Linked DNA regions of Mytilus edulis. The protein of the gene in region 1 purifies or fractionates together with the protein of each later gene. This does not show direct contact. Links are inferred from orthologs where the notes say so. Each region holds a gene or a part of one and is shown on either strand. Other genes may lie near its edges. The genes, in order: ATP-binding cassette sub-family E member 1-like and protein LTO1 homolog.

Region 1 (10,730 bases):
ACTCATCTGTAAAAATGCGTGTCAAAACTGCCGATTTACTGTCCGATTCATTCGAAAATTTTCTTGGTGTAAAACAAGGGGAGCCCTTATCACCTCTACTGTTTTTATTTTCTATAAATGACTTGATTGAAGACATGAATATTAGTCCTTCAGCTGACATAGTTAATATTAATGAAGTTCTGATATACTTAATACTATTTGCAGACGATACTATATTATTTGGGAAATCTCCTGAAATTCTACAGGAACTACTTGATAAACTACTTATTTATTGTAATAAATGGAATATAGAAGTGAATATTAACAAAACGAAAGTTGTTGTATTCAAAAATGGCTGGCAACCCGTAACTGCAAAATTTTTCTACAACAACGAAGAACTAGAAATTGTCGATTCGTATATATATCTTGGTATGCTGATACACTGTAATGGAAAAATTTTAAAAACACAGAAGCGATTAGCCTTACAAGGTTCACGATCTTTGGCAGCTCTAAATAATTCTACAAATGGTTTATACTTGACGAAGAAAAAGAAATGTGATTTGTTCGATAGTATGGTTGCGTCTGTGATAAATTATGCTTCGGAAATTTGGGGTTTCCATCGTGGAAATGATGTTGAAATTATCCATAACCGTTTTTGTCGATCTATTTTGAAACTGGGTAAAAGTACGCCAAATGTATTTTTATATGGCGAACTAGGGCGTTTGCCAATGAATGTAATTAGAAAACAAAAAGTTTTAAAATACTGGTTAAAAATTGTAACTCATAAACCACTTATTGTGTATGATATTTATATATTGTTACTCAGAGATGCAAATACTGGTAAAACTAATTGGGTTTCTAATGTTCGTGACCTATTGTTTAGTATTGGTTTAAACTTTGTATGGTACCAGCAGTCTGGTATAAATATATCATTAGATGTAATAAAAACTAGGTTAAAAGATCAATATATTCAAAGCTGGTCTGCATCTATACAGGATTGTGAGAAACTTACTATGTACAGAATTTTAAAATTAGATTTTTGTTTTGAAGATTACGTAGATTATAACTATAATTCACATTTTTTCACAAAGCTACGTAGTGGTACTATGAAGTTAAATGTTGAGGTGGGGCGTTATACAAATATACTAAGAGAAAACAGATTATGTACTTGCTGTAATATGAAAAGTGTTGAAGATGAGTACCATTTTACGTTAGTGTGTCCTGTGTATAGGCATGTACGACTGCAGTTTTTACCAAATTATTACTGTTCGTGGCCAAATGTGACAAAACTTATGTATCTGTATCAAACAAAATCTAGATCTTTAGTTGGAAAATTATGTAATTATTTGAAATCTGCCTGGCAGATTAGATCACATCTAATAAGTTGATAATTTGTCTATTGTAATATCTTATTATATTGTTCTCTGTTGTTTATTGTGTGTCACAATGTAAATATGTTTGTGTTGCTATAGCATGTAACTACTGCTTTGCAAATAAAGAATTCATTCATTCAATTCTCTTAATACTGAATACTGCTGGATAATTTATATTTTCGAAATTAAATTTTTGAACTTTAAAGGAAAAGGAGTAGGTTCAGTATGACCCCTTTTTGGCCCCAAAATATAGCAGTTTTAGAAAATTGTTAAAATGTAAACTTTTAGTTATTGATTGGACAGTAGAATGCTTCTGCTACATAAATGTGGGCTGGTTTTGACAATACAATGCACATATATCAGGGACTAGCACCATTAAGTCATGCTAAATTACTGAAATCCTCATAATTCTAGCATTTTAGTTAAATTTTAGACGGTTTTCGTGTAAAACGAAAGTGGCCGCATTCGTGTTCATCCTTAATATTGAAATGTAAGTTGTATTTTATGATAATACTTAACATATATAAAGGTTGAGGATGAACACGGATGCGGCCACTTTCATTTTTACCAAAAACCATCTGAAAAGTGACATTTTTCGGCATATTATGTAGATTTTTCATATTTGAGCATGAATCGGATCGTTTTTAATGACTAAATCTGTTAAAATCTTTCACATAAACTAATTAATTCAAAATAAATAGACACTTAAGTGTTTAAAAAGTGGTCAAAATCTTTCGTCAGATGAACCTGAAATTTGAGGCCAAAATCGGTCCTTACCGGACCTACTCCTTTCACGGTCGATGGATAAGATAGTCCAGTCCCTTCTGAAGTCCTTGATTTATCAATAAGGGCAGATGACAAGGTTATGTCCTTGAACAATTATGATTTTTTTTTAAGTATTCTTCTTACTTTTATTAAAAAACTTTTTATGTTTTGTAATAAAGCACTGATATGCGCTGGAAATTAATCTTCAAAATGTTGATGGTTTTCTGTACCTAAATAAGAAGAATATAAAGAAGATCTTTAGATGTTTTGTAGAATTTGGGTATTTTTGATGTTAGTAAAATTCGGTTGACATTTTCGATTTTTCGACTCTGTACACTATACACACATCTGTACGTCTTATCTAACCGAATGTCTCTTATTCAAATAAATGCATGGTCCTTTCATAAATCTGGTTTCCGATTTATGTGGTTCAACCCGATCATACAAACCTTATATTTTAATGAAAAACGAAAACTATCCTACAGATACTTATTCAGTCGCTTTGGTGAGACGAATAAAGCCGGTGTAAAATCTCCTTGACAATATCAGTGTACCTTTCAGCAATAAATTAAAAGTTGACCATTGTCGACAGGTTGTAGATATATCCATGGACATCAATTGCATTCCTGTATTGTCATCACAGCTATCTGATTTTGTCAAACTCACGATATAGAGATCCAACTAAGTTATGTGTATGATATAAATTTTCAAATTATACAAAATTACGACAAAACACAATTTTTCGTTTCATATTGTAAATTTCCCCTCTTTTTTATACGAATTGATGTTCCTAAAAAATTGCCTCTTCCTGCAGTGTGTATATTTCACAACTGGTTCGCTATACCAGGCTGTCACGGTCTGTGGTCACGTTTTAGATTTAGAGGAACGTCATTTTTGCATACCTGGTAACTGATTGATAAAACTTCAGGGATTTTGTTACCTGACAAATAAAATGGAACCACCAAACTCTAATTTTAACGGTGATGTTGTAGAGCCCGTAAATTTAGAAACGATCCATGTAAACTAATTTATGCTTTGAATAAACACAGTTTTAAAAGTTATCAATTTAATAACACTTTAGAAAAAGATCTTTGAATATTGCTTTTTTTTATCAGTACTAAAATCGATTTTGTTTTTGAAAGATCAAAATATAACTAAATATATAATAGCACGTATATACGACTAAATATGAGAACTCATGATCCGAAATCCTGTTGATACTTTTGCATTGCACAATAAAGGTCGTGTCTTCCTCAATCTGTTTGTTGCTGTTTGTGGCGTCTTTACATTTAATTTGTTGGATGTATACTGATTGATGCTTTATTCTGGGAGATCATAATTTATTTACATTAGTTTTGTTGTGATTGGCTTTAACTACTAATGCTGGTGCTCTTGCGTCACTCTTTAACTCATTTAAGATGCTCATAGGCGGATCCAGGGGGGGGGGGGGGGGTGCCCTTTCTTTGGAAAAAATTGATTGATTATATAGGGAAGCACTGAAGCATGACTTGAGCGGGCCCCCTTAGGTCAGTCAGAGGGCTTCCCCTTAGGAAAAGTTCTGGATCCGCCACTGATGCTGTATATATCAACTCAACAGAAATATGAAATGGTCGATAGTCTTGTTTGTTCGATCTTGAGCTAAGGTTCTGTGATAGAGGGTTTCATAATGCCAACTTGGACATTTAATTGGATCATAACAAATTTTGTAGATTTGTACTTGAAGTTCGTTAAAATTCACCTTTATATGCTCTTAACGGCGAACTTGGTTATTTGCTAATGCATATTATTGGAAAACAAAGAATGCTTAGTTGAAATTTGTTACCAAGAATTATTGTATTTGATGTATAAAACGGTAGTTAATGATGCTGAGAATGATAAAACAAACTGGGCGTCAAATGTTCGTACCTTTTTTTAAATGATCTTGGTTATAATTTTTTTTATGGTATAGCGGTTATAACTTAAAGAAAGTGTATTTTTTTCATATGATGTTTTGAAACTCTATGATAAGTTTTTACAAAGATGGCCTTCTTGTATGTTGGATTGTGAAAAAATGGATATTTTGAAAATATTTAAAATTGACTTTTGTTTGGGAAAATATTAGTTCTTGATGTCAATGTTAGACTCTTAACACAACTAAGATATGTTTCAACATTGAACCTGCAAGATATAACAACGTGCCTCGTACTGAAAGACTGTCAATGTTGCAATATGAAAACCATTGAAGATGAATATCATTTTGTAATGATTTGCTATACCCATTTGCGTCTAAGATCTTTTGTCTTATTATTCATGTTATTTTTGTTGTTGTCTTAATATGCCAAAATGTTTATCACTTATTCAAACTTGTTCAAGAACTTTTGTATTAAAACTTTGTTGTTTGTTAAATGAAAACTGGAAACTACGGTCACAATTGATAAAGTAGATTATGAGGTAGATTATAAGGTACTATTTGTTTAATAGGTTTTTTTTTCTTAATTATTATTTTGCTCTCTGTTTTCATTTATATTATTTTGCTCTCTGTTTTCATTTATATTATTTCGCTTAGTACTATATTTCATATTACATATGTTGTTGATGCTAAAGGACTTTCTTATATGCAAACTTATTACAATTACAATTTCAATAATTTATAATTGTAATATTTAATTTTTAATTGTAATTTTTTTTTTTTTTATGTAATAATTATTATGTATTCACTATGTTATATATTGGTACGTGACACTATAATAAATTATTCTGATTCTGATTTAACAGAATTTATTTTTTCCCCACGCGTTCAGTTTCGTTTTTTTTTTCATTCAAGGAGAATTGTTAGAGTATGCGTAATGACAAAGATAGGTGCACAGTTAGTTCCCATATTAATTTAGACAAAGTTATATGTCACAAAAACATTTTCAACTTGAAGAAATGCAAGGCCCTAATAAAGTCTGTGTATGTTTAGGAACAATGAATGTACCATAGAAATAACGTTTATCAATTTAACAGACGAGGCGAGTCCGACTGTTAGAGTGGGGCGCTCATATTCGCCGTGGACACAATTTCGCCGTTTTATGATTTTGAGGTGTAAAAACTCCAAAGGATGGCTAAAATGGAAGAAATATGCCGTTTAATTATATTTTTATAACAAATATGATTATTTTTGAAAATGAGGCTAAATTTCGGCACTTACGGCAAAGGACCGAAAAATGAACAACGATTTTCAGCCAATTTCCTGAATGAAAAAAAACATTTCAAAGAAGCATTCCTTAGTAATTCTTTGACTGATTGCCCTAAATTTAAGTTTTTACACCTTTCAAATGTCTGCTATTCGTCTATAATGAATTTTTTTTATAAATATTGTTTAAAGCTGCAGTTATTTGGTTTTAAATAGATATGTAAAAACGGCGAATATGTGTCCCCCTTTGACAAAAAATTAGAAAATTTCAAACACCCTTTAATCCAACTTTTCAGATGATTTTACTAAAAACAAACACGTTTTCAAGCTAAGAATATTTTGCATTTGAAGTTATATCAGTATACTTCAAAAACATAAAGACCTGAACATAAACTGAAGACAACATGGAAAGATATGGCGAAAATGATGATCACCCCACTCTACCGTATCCGTTTATCAAACTGCATCAGCCCTTCAAGTCAAATAGTCTTACCAAGCTATTTTATTTTTTTCCAGATTAAATGGAAAAGGTGTAAACTTCTGATTCAGAGAGTTCTCACATATATCCAAAAAGGTTGAACAATGCCCTCTTGCTGGCCTTAAGAATTTACAAACTTCCTTTAGTGAGCCTCAAATCCTAATTTTGTCCGAATCAGTCTTACGTTTTCATAAATATACTTGGAAAAATAATATATACTATCAAGACAACAAACAAAATTCTTAAACGTCCTTTTTATTACTTTTTTAATAAAAGATGAAAGATATGAATAAAAGAGTTATATATAAATGCAAATTTAGTAACGAAATGCAAGCAAACAATAAAAGCGTCTCTGATACGCTGATGATTGCGAAACATGTGGAAATAGGAGGCCGCCATATTTACCAGCCCTGAAGAAGCCGGTTGGCTCCACTGTGTATTTCTCAAATTTTACTGACATTGTATGAGTTTACAATCGTAACAATTTTTTAAATCATTCTATGATCATGGCATTGATTGTTGTTTACTTTTAATTGGGCAATATTCGATGTACTTTTCGATAATTTTGTCTTGTGAAGTTTTGTCACAATTTGCCATATGTCGGGTCTTCACAAATATAATGCATGTAATTAGAAAATTAATCCATGTTGAGGTAGATTTTCAGATAGTATCCAAATGTTGCAATTATGTTCAACTTCCAGTGATTATCATCGTCTTTCTAAAGAAATATGAGGCAGGCATTACCTGTAAGGCAGCAACCATTTGATTTTCTGGGGGGGGCTATGGTCATCTACTTATGGGATAAAGCAAACCTTCAATCTCTGAAGGCAGATGTCACCCTATTCGTATCTGACTTTGTCTCACAGCCACCTCATAACATGAACACTTGTTGGACTTCATTCCGGGACAAAGTCCTAACTCTGATGGACAAGCACATCCCACATAAACTCACTCGCTCACGATACACAAATCCATGGATGAACACAGATACACGCCGACTTGCACGACGCAAGGACCGAGCTTTTAAAAAAGCAAATGCCACTAAGAGCACTAGAGACGTTCGCAGGTATAAACATCTTAAAGCAGAATGTCAACGCAACATCAGACAGGCTCACAGCAATTATGTTAAAGACATCATTAGCCCGGAAGCGAAGCAGAACCCCAAAAAGTTTTGGTCCTTCGTGAAAAGTGGGAAACAGGAAGCCTCAGGTGTGGCTCCACTTAGGAACACCGACGGATTGATCCACAACGACCCGAAGATAAAAGCTAATATCCTCAACAACCAATTTAAATCTGTCTTCACAGAGGAGGATACAAACACAATGCCAGATAAGGGACCTAGTCCCTATCCCAAAATGGCACCAATTACCATCGGAACCACAGGTGTGGCCAAGCTTCTTAAAAATTTAAACCCACACAAGGCAACAGGACCAGACTCGATATCGTCTCGCTTCCTTAAAGAGTTATCATCAGAATTAGCGCCTGCTCTTGCACACATCTTTCAATTCTCAATTAATGTTGGGCAAGTTCCAGATGACTGGCGCATGGCACATGTGGTGCCCCTCTTCAAGAAAGGAGACAAGAGTACTGCGGCAAATTACCGTCCTGTGTCTCTAACAGCAATTTGCTCCAAAGTGATGGAGCACATACTCCACTCGAAGATAATGGAACACCTAGAAAAACACTCCATTTTAACACCAGCCCAACATGGATTCCGCACAAAACGCTCATGTGAGACTCAGCTGATTGCCACTATTCATGAACTGGCAAATGGACTATCAGATGGCCAACAAATCGACGCAATACTATTAGACTTTGCCAAAGCCTTTGATAAGGTGCCACACAAGCGACTTCTCCATAAGCTCCAATACTATGGAGTCAGTGACTATACTCTCAAATGGGTGGAGAGCTTCCTGAACAGTAGGAAACAACATGTTCTAGTGGAGGGAACAATGTCAGACGAAGCAGAGGTAGTTTCTGGTGTACCACAAGGTACAGTAATGGGACCCCTGCTCTTTCTTGTCTTCATCAATGACCTCCCTGAATCGGTTAACTCGAGCGTGAAATTGTTTGCTGATGACTGCCTGTTATATCGTCCTATTCGATCCACTAGCGATTCCACCAAGCTACAAGACGACCTTGATAAATTAGAAAAATGGGAAAATGATTGGCAAATGGCGTTCCACCCGCAAAAATGCACCACCATCCATATCAGCAAGAAACGCAAACCCACCATATGCGATTACCATCTGCATGGCCATACCCTTGAAAGCGTCCCAGGCGGGAAATACCTTGGCTTATACATCAGCAAGGACCTGTCTTGGCGTGAGCACATTAACCAGACCACAGCCAAAGCCTCCAGATCTGTTGGATTCCTGCGAAGGAACCTCAGATGTTGTCCTCAGGAAGTAAAAAGTCAAGCCTACACAACTTTAGTAAGACCCGTCCTCGAGTACGCCAGCGCTGTCTGGGATCCCTACCAGCAACAACAAATCCAACAACTGGAAAACGTACAACGCCAGGCTGCTAGATTCGTAATGGGGGACTTTTTCTCGAGGGAACCAGGTTGTGTGACTAAAATGACTCAGCAACTAGGTTGGGAACCACTGGAACATAGGAGAGCTAGGAGCAGAGTCATCATGTTCTACAAGATAATAAACCATATTGTAGAAGTTCCTGTTCACCACCTGCTCAGCCATCATGATACCAGAACCCGTGGTTCCGTGTCAAATAACATCAGACAGATAAGGACCAGACTGGACTGCTTTAAATATTCATTCATCCCAGCCACCATCATATCCTGGAACAACATACCTCCAGATATCCGAGCTTCCCCGTCTGTGGAACACTTTCGACACGCCATCCAAGATGTCAGCGTGTCGACACTACTCCACATCTAAATTACAGCACCGTTTTTAACTGTACATACAGATCTCTTTTTAGCTGTACATACTTGAAGGTTTTTAGCTGTTCACTCACGCTGGAGTATATACACTCAAATATGAGTCCACTCCTTGACGGGAAGATAGATAGATAGATAGATGGTTTTTTTTTCTGGACAAATTTTTTTTTTCGCCTGCGGCGAAAAACAATCTATTTTTTTCGCAACAAGTCGAAAACAATTTTTTTCTTTCAATTTTAGCATTACATATAGTGGCAGCTGAGGGGGAAACAAACAATTTTTTTTTCTCAGAATCAAAAACAAATTATTTTTTTCTCCGAAAACTGGAAACAAACTTTTTTTTCCAAAAAAAACCATAGCCCCCCCCAGAAAATCAAATGGTTGCTGCCTAAATGGGGACGAAGTCTGTATGAATTATTTTTTGTAACTTAAATATTTGTTTAAAAAAAAAGAAACGGAAATACCGTAACGTTTCCGATTTTGGTTCTGTTGTTAGGGATTTAGTTGTGACGTTATTTAAATTATGACGTCATATGCAATGTAAACAAAGAAACGCTATCATCAGGTAACGTTTTTTCATATCAAGGAATATTAAAAATGAAATTGGTATTGCGCGTTCCTTCCTATTTTATACTAGACTGATAAATATATATTTTACTCAAAGTTTCATACAAACGAGACCGGAAAAAGGAAGTACATTGTACATTTCTGCGCAGGTCCGGGATTTCAAAACACGACAAAAAAAAAATTGAACGATTTTGAGTTCAATAGTACAATGAAAAATTCAGGAAATTTTCCCGTATTTTTTTTTTTATTGAATTTTCTACTGTTATTGGGGACTCTGTCCCCATATAAATTGAAAAAAGAAAAACTTCGCGGGACCTCATTCATTCAAAATGCGAATTCGGAGTTCCTTACCTGGAAGAAGAAGAAGAAAATTTACAGATTGACTGTATTTTGAATGCAAAAAAAAAATGAACAGTGCATTTTTGCCCCCCCCCCCCCCCCCCCAAAAAAATAAATGGTTAAGGACTGCAAATGAAGAAAAATGCAAGGGATTTACTCATAAATAAAACAAATCTGTAAAAGTTGTTGCCTTTTATGTAAGGATTTTCTCTTGGCAATATTTTGCTGAAACCATAAAATGATATTTTGACTATTTTACTGATTATGTCTGTTTTTTTCACGCATCGTTATTAAAATAACGGATTTTGATGCAACTGTCATACAAGTATGAGGTTTAGCGCTATAAAACCAGGTTCAATCCACCACTTTCTACATTTGAAAATGCCTGTACCAAGTCAGGAATTTGACGGTTGTTGTCCATTCGTTTGATGTGTTTTATCATTTGATTTTGCCATTCGATAAGGGAATTTCCGTTTTGAATTTTCCTCTGAGTTCAGTATTTTTGTGATTTTTCTTTTTCCCTTGGAAGTTGGAATAAAAAGAAAGTAAAATTTTGCGCAGTCAAATTACAACCCATTGTGGGTGTTATATGTGAATTTCCGTTTTTTTAATTTTCCTCTGAGTTAAGTATTTATGTGATTTTACTTTTTCCCTTGGAAGTTGGAATAAAAAATTTTTTTAAATTTGCGCAGTCATATTACAGCCCATTGTGGGTGTTAAATAATACTAGTCTCTAACTTGAGATATATTAAAAAAAATTAAACATCGGGAAGACCATTTAACTCTCAAGGAGTGAAGGGTTATTTTTTGGAAAGAATTATTTCTGATTGACTGTCTGTGCCAATTAATAAAATTGAAAGGTAAATTAATTTTAGCCTACCACAAAAAATTCTATAATTTGATGCTTGTGTGTTGCCAAAAAAAACCAACATTTTGCTTTTTCAACCTTAAATGGTTCCTTAAAGCATTCCTCTATCAGTGACTATTTGGTAATATTAGACCATTTAGCAATATTTTACTGTTTACTTTTACAACTTCTTTAATTTATTTTCAGAAACAATGTCGAAAACACAAGATAAGTTAACTCGTATTGCTATTGTCAGCAATGACAAATGCAAACCAAAAAGATGCAGACAGGAGTGTAAGAAGTCCTGTCCTGTAGTAAGAATGGGT
Region 2 (11,107 bases), on another chromosome or scaffold:
TAATTAAGATTTACGAAAAATGGTTAAAAATTGACTATAAAGGGCAATAACTTCTAAAGGGGTCAACAGACCATTTTGGTCATGTTGACTTATTTGTAGATCTTACTTTGCTGAACATTTTTGCTGTTTACAGTTTATCTCTATCTATAATAATATTCAAGATAATAACCAAAAACATCAAAATTTTCTCAAAATTACCAATTCAGGGGCAGCAACCCAACAACGGGTTGTCCGATTCATCTGACAATTTCAGGGCAGATAGATCTTGACCTGATAAACAATTTTGCCCCATGTCAGATTTGCTCTAAATGCTTTGGTTTTTGAGTTATAAGCCCAAAACTGCATTTTAACCCTATGTTCTATTTTTAGCCATGGCGGCCATCTTGGTTGGTTGGGCGGGTCACCGGACACAATTTTTAAACTAGATACCCTAATAATGATTTTGGCCATGTTTGGTTAAATTTGGCCCAGCAGTTTCAGAGGAGAAGATTTTTGTAAAAGTTAACGACGACGGACGCAGGACGACGCCGGACGATGCCGGACGCCGGACGCCAAGTGATGAGAAAAGCTCACTTGGCCCTTCGGGCCAGGTGAGCTAAAAATCATCTTGATGTCTTCAGTAATATGCATAAGTTCCTTTTAATGAACCAAGGACCATGATGTTGAATTCCCTTGCAATATCTTTTTACTCATTAGTTTAGTCAATCTCTGTTAGTCTTTGTTACATTAAATCTTTGACATGTCTTGATTCCAGGTGATAACACCTTGACATATCATATTAGACAAAATTAGCCAGCTTGTTGAAGACCAAATGTTAACCTGTAGATTTCCTTTTAGTTTGTATGTGTGCTCGGTTGCAGTCTTATGGGTAAAAAAATAATCTTGAAATACAAACTTGGAACGAATTCAATACTTTTATTAAATTTTGAAACTTTGTTTTTTGTTTTTTTTTAATTTTTGCCATTTAATTCAGGTTAATATGTTGACTGGCATAAAAAATGCAGAACTTTGCAACATGTACATACTTTCCCTTTCATGTTGATGCATTTTCTCCTCACCAATAACAAATTGTCCATGGTGTTCTTTCTGAAAATATATCAAATGCACTTTGTTAAAATATAATTTTTCACTTTTTGGGTCTTTTTGAAAATGTTGTTTGTGCTGTATTGAGACCCCTCTACAACAAAATTTGTTTTACATGCACACATATAAAAATTAAGGTTTTTATCTAATGCAATTATAGGTTTGAACGTTGTTTTCAATTAAGACTTGTTTATATACATATAAATTGCTTCACTAAGCACAGCTGGATTTGACCACAGAGGTCCAACAGTCGGGGCAAAATTGGACACAATATTCTCACTTGATACAGGTCTGAATTTGGATTGTAATTAATTTATTACAAAAGCTCATTTTGCGTGTTGAGTAGACATGTGATGAAAACAAATTGTGAAAACGTGATATGACACTACCATTTTGATATTTATAGATCCTTAATGTACAATTAACATAAACATCTGTACCTTTGCAGCACCCATCAAACGAAGGAATTTATTCTTCCTGTTAGTATCTCCCAAATCTACTTCTTCCCACTTGTTGGCAGAGTGAACCTTAAAATATATATGTGCATAAGTTAACATTCACAATTAAAGCAGGTTAAACTCACAAGCTATTACTCACTAATACTTACCCTGCTTTAAGTATTTGGCTAACAGGAAGCTGAAGAAAAATGAATCTGAAAACAAATTACTTAGTCTAGCATGTGCATATGAAAAATGCAGATAGCAAATTATGTGAGGTTCAGTTTCATAGATAAATCTAATGATGTTTTCAAATATAAGGCCATTAAGACGTTAAGAGCATATATTAAAATATTCTAAATTCTAGAGACTGTTGACTGATGAATCTTAAACCATGTCTCAAAGTAAAACATGCTGACATGAAGCCTGATAACAATTTTCAGGAATCTATTGTTTGTAGTTCCTGATTGAAATTAATTGTGAAATTTTCGAAGGAATACTGTATGTATAGTATGATAGTAAAGATGATTAAAATTAATGAACAATATTTTCTATATATATATGTGTTAACAGTCCAGGTATCAGACTTTGTTATTTTCTATGTCTGAAGAGGTTATCTTTGTGTTCAGGTTTAAAAATCAGAGAGGCAGATTTAGGGGGGGGGGGGGGGGGGGGGGGCAGGGGGCCTGGGCCTGATTGTTATAAATATAGAATACTTTTAGAAAGAAAAACTATATGAAAGCTTAGTTTGGACAATTTTATAGCAATTCAAAATAAACAGTTCCTCTTATTTATAAGAATCAGACATTATGTGAATTAAAACATCACATATTCAGTAAAATATGTGTAAAATTGCAATATATGTTTGTAGGAAGTTTCCATGGGGGAGATAATAACTTTTCTTTCAAAAAGTCTTTATTCAAAAGAATAATATTTTAGGTTATCTCCCCTGAAAACTTATCAATAGCATATTGTTATTTTACTGAATATATGATCAGTGGTCTCGCTAGCCCAAAATAGAAGGGCGCCGCGCCCTGGGTGCCCTCAGCTGCGCCCTGGGTGCCTTCATCCGCGCCCTTCTGCCCTGACGTCTTTTTCCAAAATTATCTGGTGCCGTTTTGGTAAAATTTTGTTTCATCGATTTCTGATCTCCAAGTTAATTACATATATGACACCTGTGTGATTGCCCCCATGTTAATCATGTCATTACAATCAATTACAATGATAAAGACTTCAAAGGTGTTAATAACTAGGTAATTTAATTAGGACAATGTATCTTTTTGTCATACTTCTACTTCTACTTCTACCATATAGTGACAGCCTTCAACAAATTGAAGATTATGTCACAGGAGGAAACTTACAACAAGACATAGATTGAAAAATGTACAAGTTTAAAAAAAAAAAAAAAAAAAAAAAAATATGAAAAATTAAAAAATATAAAATGTTTTGTATAATAAAGTAAGATGTTGTAATTAATATTGATGCTTTGAGATTGAAGATTTAAAAGAGTCTACTGAAGTGCAATTTACAATGTTATCTGGTAGTTTGTTCCAGTCGGTAATAGTTCTTGGAAAATATGATTCTTTTCTGTACTGTGTTTTGCAGGATGGAATTTGGAAGCTGTTCGAATTAGAATGTCTTGTTTGTCTTTTTTGAGGAATTAATTTATTATTTTTAGGAATTGCAACCTTTTCGTGTTCAATTTTGAAAAGCATTACCAATCTGGAGTCTTTTCTTCTGTCAGAGAGACTGCGCCATTCAAGATGTTGTAACATGTTACCAACGCTTGAGGTGTTTCTGTATTTGTTGGTAACAAAACGTGCAGCCCTCCTTTGAACTTTTTCAATGCTATCTATGTCTTGTTGTAAGTATGGATCCCAAACAGAGCAAGCATACTCTAGTGATGGTCTTACTAGGGACTTATATGCTTGCTCTTTAATGGATGTTGAACTTATGTTCAGGTTCCTCCTTAGAAAGCCTAGTGTGCTATTAGCTTTCTTGCATATGTTGTTAATATGCACATCCCATTTAAGGTTGGAACTGATGGTGACCCCCAGATATTTTGCTGTTGTTACATGTTCTAATGAATGATTGTGTAATGTGTAGTTAAATGTGATTGGTTTTTTATTTCTGGTGACTGAAATTACATTACACTTATCTGGGTGGAATGCCATTTTCCAAGTAGTTTCCCACGATGCCAGTTTGTTTAGATCTTTTTGTAATGTTAATGCATCGGAGTTTGATTTTATTGCCAAATAAACTATTGTGTCGTCTGCAAATAAACGTACTGTAGATGTTAGACCAGTTGGAATGTCATTTATATAGTACAAGAAGAGACTTGGTCCAAGAACTGACCCCTGTGGAACCCCTGACTCAACTGCAACATACTCAGATTTTTCCCCCTCTAGAACTACTGCCTGTTTGCGATTGCTAAGAAAATTTTGTATCCAGTAATTTAATTCCCCTTGTATCCCGTAATGATGAATGTGTCAGCGAGTGTGTTTTAAGCTTGGGTCTGCATTTTCGATCTCCAAGTCACAATGGAAGAGCGTATATAAATGAAGACTTTCATGACTTTAGAATTGAATTTAAGTCATCAAAATAAAACTATGCCTTTACAGAAATGCCTTCCATCTCAACTTGTTAGCGACAAGCACAGTTTTTAATTAACCCAAACGTGGTGGAAATTGATTTTGGAGTTACTTCCCCTGTTTTAGCTTATTACAAATTTGTGCTCTAAAAATATTATCTAGTACCAAAAAAAGGAATAAATTACCAATTGAATATATAATAACATAATAATGTTACCTTAAAGATATTAACTGTCTTTGAACATATCAAAAAATATATATTGCAATTTCTACTTGATAATTATACTTTTAGCAATCCATGTTCTAAACATTGTTAAATTAGTAATGCTCTCTGTTTCAGATCATATGATGTTTTCAAAGCTATAAATCCTATATAGATAAAAAAAAAAAAACAAAAAAAAAACACATATTCTTTGATAATGGGTAGAGTGAAGTTGAACTGTAAAAACATAATATGTTGATGAAGATGTACTATATCAGTCATAACTACACAAACAATGAAATAAAGACTATAGTTGAAAAGCATCTTTATTTAAAAAAAAAAAACATATACAGTAAAAAAAAAAAAAGAGAATCGTGAACTCGTGATACACACAGAAACGTAGACAAAAAAATGAGCAGTGCCTTTTCTTATCATAAAAAGTGCCCTGCCCTCCACTGGCACCCTGCCCCTTTTGATTTCTAGCTAGAGCACTGATGATGTTTTATTTAAAATGATATCTGATTCTTATAAATATAGAATACTTTTAGAAAGAAAAACTATATGAAAGCTTAGTTTGGACAATTTAATAGCAATTCCAAATAAACAGTTCCCCTTCAGCATGGAAATGAATATAATATAACTATACAAACTGATAAACTACATTGTCACAACATCATTAAAGTGGAGTTAAAGTCTTATAGGATTGTAAGTATGTTTTATTTTATCACCTTGCACTTTCATGACTTGGCTGTGGTTTTCTACAGCAGTTGGTTCAAATTTCTGACCAGTTGAACAATTTGAATTTGTAAAACAAATTGCAATTTGGTCAAAATTTTGAATGAGTTGCAATTGGTGAAGAGCAACACTAACAGTCAACTCACTGTAAAGAATTATTAAAAATGAAATTGATATTGCGCTCCTCCCTATTTTATACTAGACTGATAAATATATATTTTACTCAAAATTTCCTGCAAACGAGACCGGAAAAAGGAAGTACATTGTAGATTTCTGCGCAGATGCAGGAATTCAAAACATGCCATAAAAAAAATTGAACGATTTTGAGTTCATTAGTACAATAAAAATTTGGGGGAAAATTTTCCAGATTGTTTTTTTTTTTTTATTGAATTTTCTACTGTTATTGGGGACTTCGTCCCCATATTATTTACTGACTTTTATTGATTGAATTTCTGATTCCTGTGATAAGACAATACAAATACAACTGCTTCAAAATCAGTCAATTGTATTATCGTCATAAAGAAAATGTGCATTTTATCATTATGCACAAAAAATAACTGTTTAACGTCATTTGTCATGATTTTGTTTACCGTTATTCATCATAAAAGTATCTATACTTGATACCAGTATGCATGCTTTGCATGATGTGCTAACTGTTTTATATCTTGTGGCTGTGCTTATCACATATATGTATGGCAGTCAAAAACTCTACATAGCTATGTTGTATTGGTATATGCATACCCGACTTTAAATAAATCTTTTATGCTTTATGCTTATGGAACCCCTGTTTCGACCCTCATGTCTTGCAACAATAATTTGTTCTTTTTACAAAGTATAACAAAGCCTGATAATGCTATTTAGTGAAGACTAAAGTATAAATGTTATTTAAAGACACTAAGTCATCTGTTTCATTACATTTTCTGGCTCCTTTTCAGCTTTTTTGCTGGATTCTTCCTTTGTTTCTGTTTTCTCTGTCGTTTTTTCCTTTTCACTCATTTTTTCTCGAAGAAATGCTTGCCCCTTCTATCAATAAAAAACGGAAATTAATTTCAATATTGATCATTCACAAGTAAGTGAATGAATAACTAATTATTTTAAACAACAGACAAAGTCATTATGAACGGAAATTTATAACAGTTTGAACATTAAAACTTTCCTGATCCCTTTTTTTGTTCTAAACTTTTCAATGATATAAGTCAAAGGGAGATAATCTTTTCTTTCACTTTCACTTTGATTTACGGTGTTTTACATTTCTCATTATTTAAGAATGGCAAACAATACAGAAGATGATATATTTCATGATATCATAATGGGTGAAGAAAAGTAATTACCCGCTATTGAGCACTCTTTCAATTTATATTGTCATATTTCAAGCCATACAATCATATTAAATCCAAGAAATGTTATCTACACTCAAAATCTTTTGTATTGATCAGTTGATATAATTTGTGCCTTTTGTGGAGTTCGACTGTCCTTGAGTTATTTTTCCTTTGACCTGATGAAACATCTTTCATCTTTTACAATAATTCAATATTTTTTTTCTTCCAATAAAATTACTATGCATTAGACGAAATGCAGCCGCTAGGTGAGATCAAGACTGGTTGATGGCTTTCCATCCAGACAAGTGCACAGTCCTTACAGTATCACAAAAGAAAAAACAGTTTAAACATGACTATATCCTGCACAATCACAAACTTTGAACTAGTCACTTCAGCTAAATATCTGGGCATTACACTACAAACAAACTTAAAATGGTCAATTTTTTTATAAATGTTGTTTTGTTAAACATGTCTCATATGTCGGTTAAAAGCTCATTAGAGCTTATGTTTGTCTATGTTTGTATACCTTGCCGACTCTTATATAAAGCTTATTTATTATTTATTATTATTTATTATTAAAACATACAGATAACATCATAGCTAATGGTAACAAATCTTTGGGCTTCTTAAAAAGAAATTTAAAAACATCATGCCAGAACATCAAAACCCAGGCATATCTGGCACTAGTTCGTCCTAAGCTTAAATATTCATGTTCTGTATGGGACCCTCACGCAGTTGAACAAACCTTTAAAATTGAGATGGTCCAAAGATGAGCTGCTAGATATGTCTGTAACAGGTACCATAACATCAGCAGTCTTACAGACATGATAAACTCACTAAACCTGCCCACACTACAGGAAAGAAGATTACGCACAAGATTGATAATGTTCTACAAAATAGTACATCAAATCGCAGCAATCCCATCTGCTAACCTCATACCATCAGACAGTAGAACCCGCAAAAATCATAGTTTCACTTTCAGACACATTTCTTCCAAAAAAGATAAATATAGATTTTCATTTTTTCCGTACACCATTACTCAGTGGAATTTACTACCAGTCCACACAGTTGCTGTAACCACAGTCGACACATTCAGAGAACAGCTTTAACGGTTTATTTCTTCCTCTGTGATATTTTATCCTGAGGATAATTTGTCCCGGTAATTTTTTTCCAGGCATGGTATTTCACAGGTTGATTTTTTCCAGAGGAGTGAAAATCTATCTGTGTTATGCGGATAGTATTTACCGGTATATATTTGCCGTTCTATATTTCATAGAACCGTGTGAAATAGAGTCCCATTAACTACTATGTAAGTTACTCACAATCTATATATCTGACTACAATTATAAAATGTTTCACAAAGGTAGACCAAATTTGCATAATTTATCAAAGGGAGGTAATTATGAGCAATTTATATTTTTAAGATATATATTTCTGAATCTATTTTATAGCGAAAATTTTCCCTTTAATCTTATTTTTTATATATTCATTTATATAAAAAGATGACTTACAACTTGATATAATAAGACAGAAAACATTTCACAGGTAAAAAATATCCAGCTGTTAAACATGCTTTTGTTCCAATACATTGTTATGCTATGATTTGTCTGATTTCCATATAATCAACAAATACATCTCTGTCCCCAGACAAAACTATTTGTATAGTTAAAAATATCATCATAATCAAATTCTTCTATTACTGCTAACGTTAGTAATGCAACTATATTTCTACCTTACTTTTAAATTTATATTTGTACTGAGATCTGAAAACAACTCACTTGTACATGTATTTCACTAATCTTATTTAATCATGATATTATTTTCACAATTATGATTTTTGAAATTAAATCTGGTTTTCTTCCCTATGTTTCATGATAATTTTCCTTTTAAAAGGATGATATTGACTTGAATATTTCAGGAAATTTTTTCAAGGATAATTTGTGAAATTATTTCCCATTATAATACTTTTTTTTAACAATTTCCTTTTATTTGAAATACACTATTATTATTTCATAGGATAAGTTTTTTCTAATAACTATTCAATAAGTTAACTAACCAGATAGAATTTCACGGCAAAGGCAAAAATATCCCAGGGAAAGATTTTCCTCCGGATAAAAAAAATAACAACAACTACTGTGACATTTTTTCCTCCGGATCAAATTCCACCCGGATATAATTTTGCTTTACACTTACGCTAACTGTTCTCCACAAATTCATTCAACTCATTATTTGCCAATGTACATAGTTTTAATCACAATTTAAAATTAATTTTTACACACTCCAAACTCATTTTCAATTATTTTTGTGGTTATGTAAATATATATATAGGCCACGCAGTGCAAAACAGTATATAATCTTCAGATAATGAAAAACTACGGAAAACCTAAAGAAGAAGAAGACAAGCATAGTAAAATCTAGTCCAAATAATTATGAGGCTATTATACTTTGTTTCTTTGACACCTTACATTGCATGAAGGCATCAAAGCAAAAAGTCCAATACGTCATAATTATTTGGACTCAGTAAAATCCTGCGCGACATAGTAAAATCAATGCCCAGCATGTTATCATCAATACTTTCATGGAGTGCTGAATTATAAAGAAGATATGTCCTTTGCTCCTGACTCATCTGTTTATTTAATCCATAAAATGTGTATCTGTTTAATTTAAAAAAAAAATAGTATGAGAATGGCATAGAAGTTTTTTTTATCACACAACCTTGAACTATATACAAGTAACTATATCTTTTATCATCTTTTACCAATTGTTCAAAAGACAGTCATGTGGAAAATCTCAGATCTTTTTCAGGACTTGAGGTCATTGTGCATAGTTCTCTCAGTTGAAGTTCAATACACCAATCTTGGGTTGTTTTCTATAGATAGGTTACACTAGCTGACCCAGAGTCAATCTAAATAAACAATTTAATCAAACAATAGGTGATTACTCTGATGTAATAAAATCAGCATTGTGACATAAAATAAGATACAGGTATACAGGAAAGAGCATGAATTCAAAAGTCATCAATAGTAAGACACAATGGGACTAAATCATTTTCATTTAGGCAGTATTAAAATGTACAAACATTTGGTCATTGAAACAAGAAAAACAAGTGGTGTGTCCATCATTAAAGATTTACTTCAAAATTTTGTTTTCAGATCTCAGTTGCAGGGTTATGAAGCTGGATTTGAAGCAGGAAAACAATCTGGATATGATGAAGGATACAGACTAGGTTGGGAAAAGGGATCTTCTATTGCATCAGAGGTACAAAAAAGTCATATTTTATTTAATTTTAAAAAGTTGTTATCAAGTAAAATGCAATCTGTACATGACTGAAATTTAACTTTATACATATATAAATAATGCATCTAGAATCAATGATAAAAGAAAATAAAGGAACATATATATATCAGTTATGTGACATTATTAGTTGTAAAAGGTTTTGGATAAGCATTTCAATATCTTTGTTTTTTGTAGGTTGGATTTTATCATGGTTTCATTGAAGAACTTCAAATTAAAATACAGGATGATGACAGCAAACAGAGGTTTGTATCTTGTAACTTTCTAAATACCTTGTATAAACATTCATATGAAATCAAGTACCTCATATAAACATAATTGTACATGTATCAATCAAAAAGCACTTTTAGTAGTTTCTATCATGCTTATTTCAATAATCACCTTTTAAAAGGCCAAGCGAGCTTTTGTCATCACCTGGTGTCCAGTGTGGTTAACTTTTACAAAAAAATCTTCTCCTCTGAAACTACTTGGCCAAATTTAAACAAACTTCGCCATAATCATTAAGCAGTAAAATCTACTAATAAGTCAACTTTACGAAAATTTTTGTTTGACCCCTTTAAAGTCAATTTTTAACAATTTCTTCTCAGAAAGATTGTTTTAGCTCACCTTTCCAAACAAAATACTCAATAACTCCAAAATAAAGTTTTGAATCATCAACAAAAAGTATACAGATCTTTCAGATCTTTAGATTAATATAACAAAGAAGTGTGTAAAGTTTTAAGCAATAATCATAAATTATTTTTGAGATACGGCGCAACATGTAAAAAAAAACCTCCCCTGTTCAACAAAATACTCAATAACTTCAAAATAAAGTTTTGAATCATCAACAAAAAGTATACAGATCTTTAGATTAATATAACAAAGAAGTGTGTAAAGTTTTAAGCAATAATCATAAATTGTTTTTGAGATAGGCACAACATGTAAAAAAAAAAACCTCCCCCTTTTTTACAAAATACTCAATAACTCAAAAATGAAATTTTGAATCATCACCAAAAAGTATACAGATCTTCAGATTAATTAAACAAAGACATGTGTAAAGTTTTAAGCAATAATCATAAATCGTTTATGAGATATGGTGCGACATGTAAAAAAACACTCCCCCTTTTTTACAAAATACTCAATAACTCAAAAATAAAATTTTGAATCATCACCAAAAAGTATACAGATATTAAGATTAATATAAATAAGTTTTAAGCCATAATCAAGAATCGTTTTTGAGATACGGTGCGACATAAGAAAAAAACACACCCCTGTTTTAGTTACAAAGTGCCGTAACTCAAAAAGTTTTAATCTTATTTTCACCAAAAAGTATACAGGTCATTTGACCATCATAAGAAACATTTATGTAAAGTTTCATGAAATTTGGATAAGTCGTTCTCGAGTTATGGTGCGACATGTTTACGCTGGACAGACAGACGGACGGACAGACAGATGGACGGACACCGG

Evidence for each region.
Region 2: the proteins of ATP-binding cassette sub-family E member 1-like (region 1) and protein LTO1 homolog purify together in Homo sapiens (affinity purification with mass spectrometry; 4 studies listed by BioGRID and IntAct, with this or other methods). This does not show direct contact. The link is inferred for Mytilus edulis from reciprocal best matches to the Homo sapiens genes ABCE1 and LTO1.

What each region holds. Positions count from the first base shown.
Region 1 is NC_092351.1:71,729,416-71,740,145, reverse strand, and holds the start of ATP-binding cassette sub-family E member 1-like, read left to right. Parts: upstream 1-6,070; 5' UTR 6,071-6,171; exon of another isoform or gene 6,172-6,210; intron 6,211-10,611; 5' UTR 10,612-10,616; coding exon 10,617-10,728; intron 10,729-10,730. Other genes in the region: uncharacterized protein, read left to right, coding at 15-1,367. UniProt on the Homo sapiens protein: Nucleoside-triphosphatase (NTPase) involved in ribosome recycling by mediating ribosome disassembly. Able to hydrolyze ATP, GTP, UTP and CTP. Splits ribosomes into free 60S subunits and tRNA- and mRNA-bound 40S subunits.
Region 2 is NC_092353.1:25,999,952-26,011,058, forward strand, and holds the start of protein LTO1 homolog, read left to right. Parts: upstream 1-6,225; 5' UTR 6,226-6,315; coding exon 6,316-6,371; intron 6,372-9,519; coding exon 9,520-9,625; intron 9,626-9,838; coding exon 9,839-9,906; intron 9,907-11,107. Other genes in the region: small acidic protein-like, read right to left, coding at 1,026-1,086, 1,524-1,610, 5,964-6,044. UniProt on the Homo sapiens protein: The complex LTO1:YAE1 functions as a target specific adapter that probably recruits apo-ABCE1 to the cytosolic iron-sulfur protein assembly (CIA) complex machinery. May be required for biogenesis of the large ribosomal subunit and initiation of translation.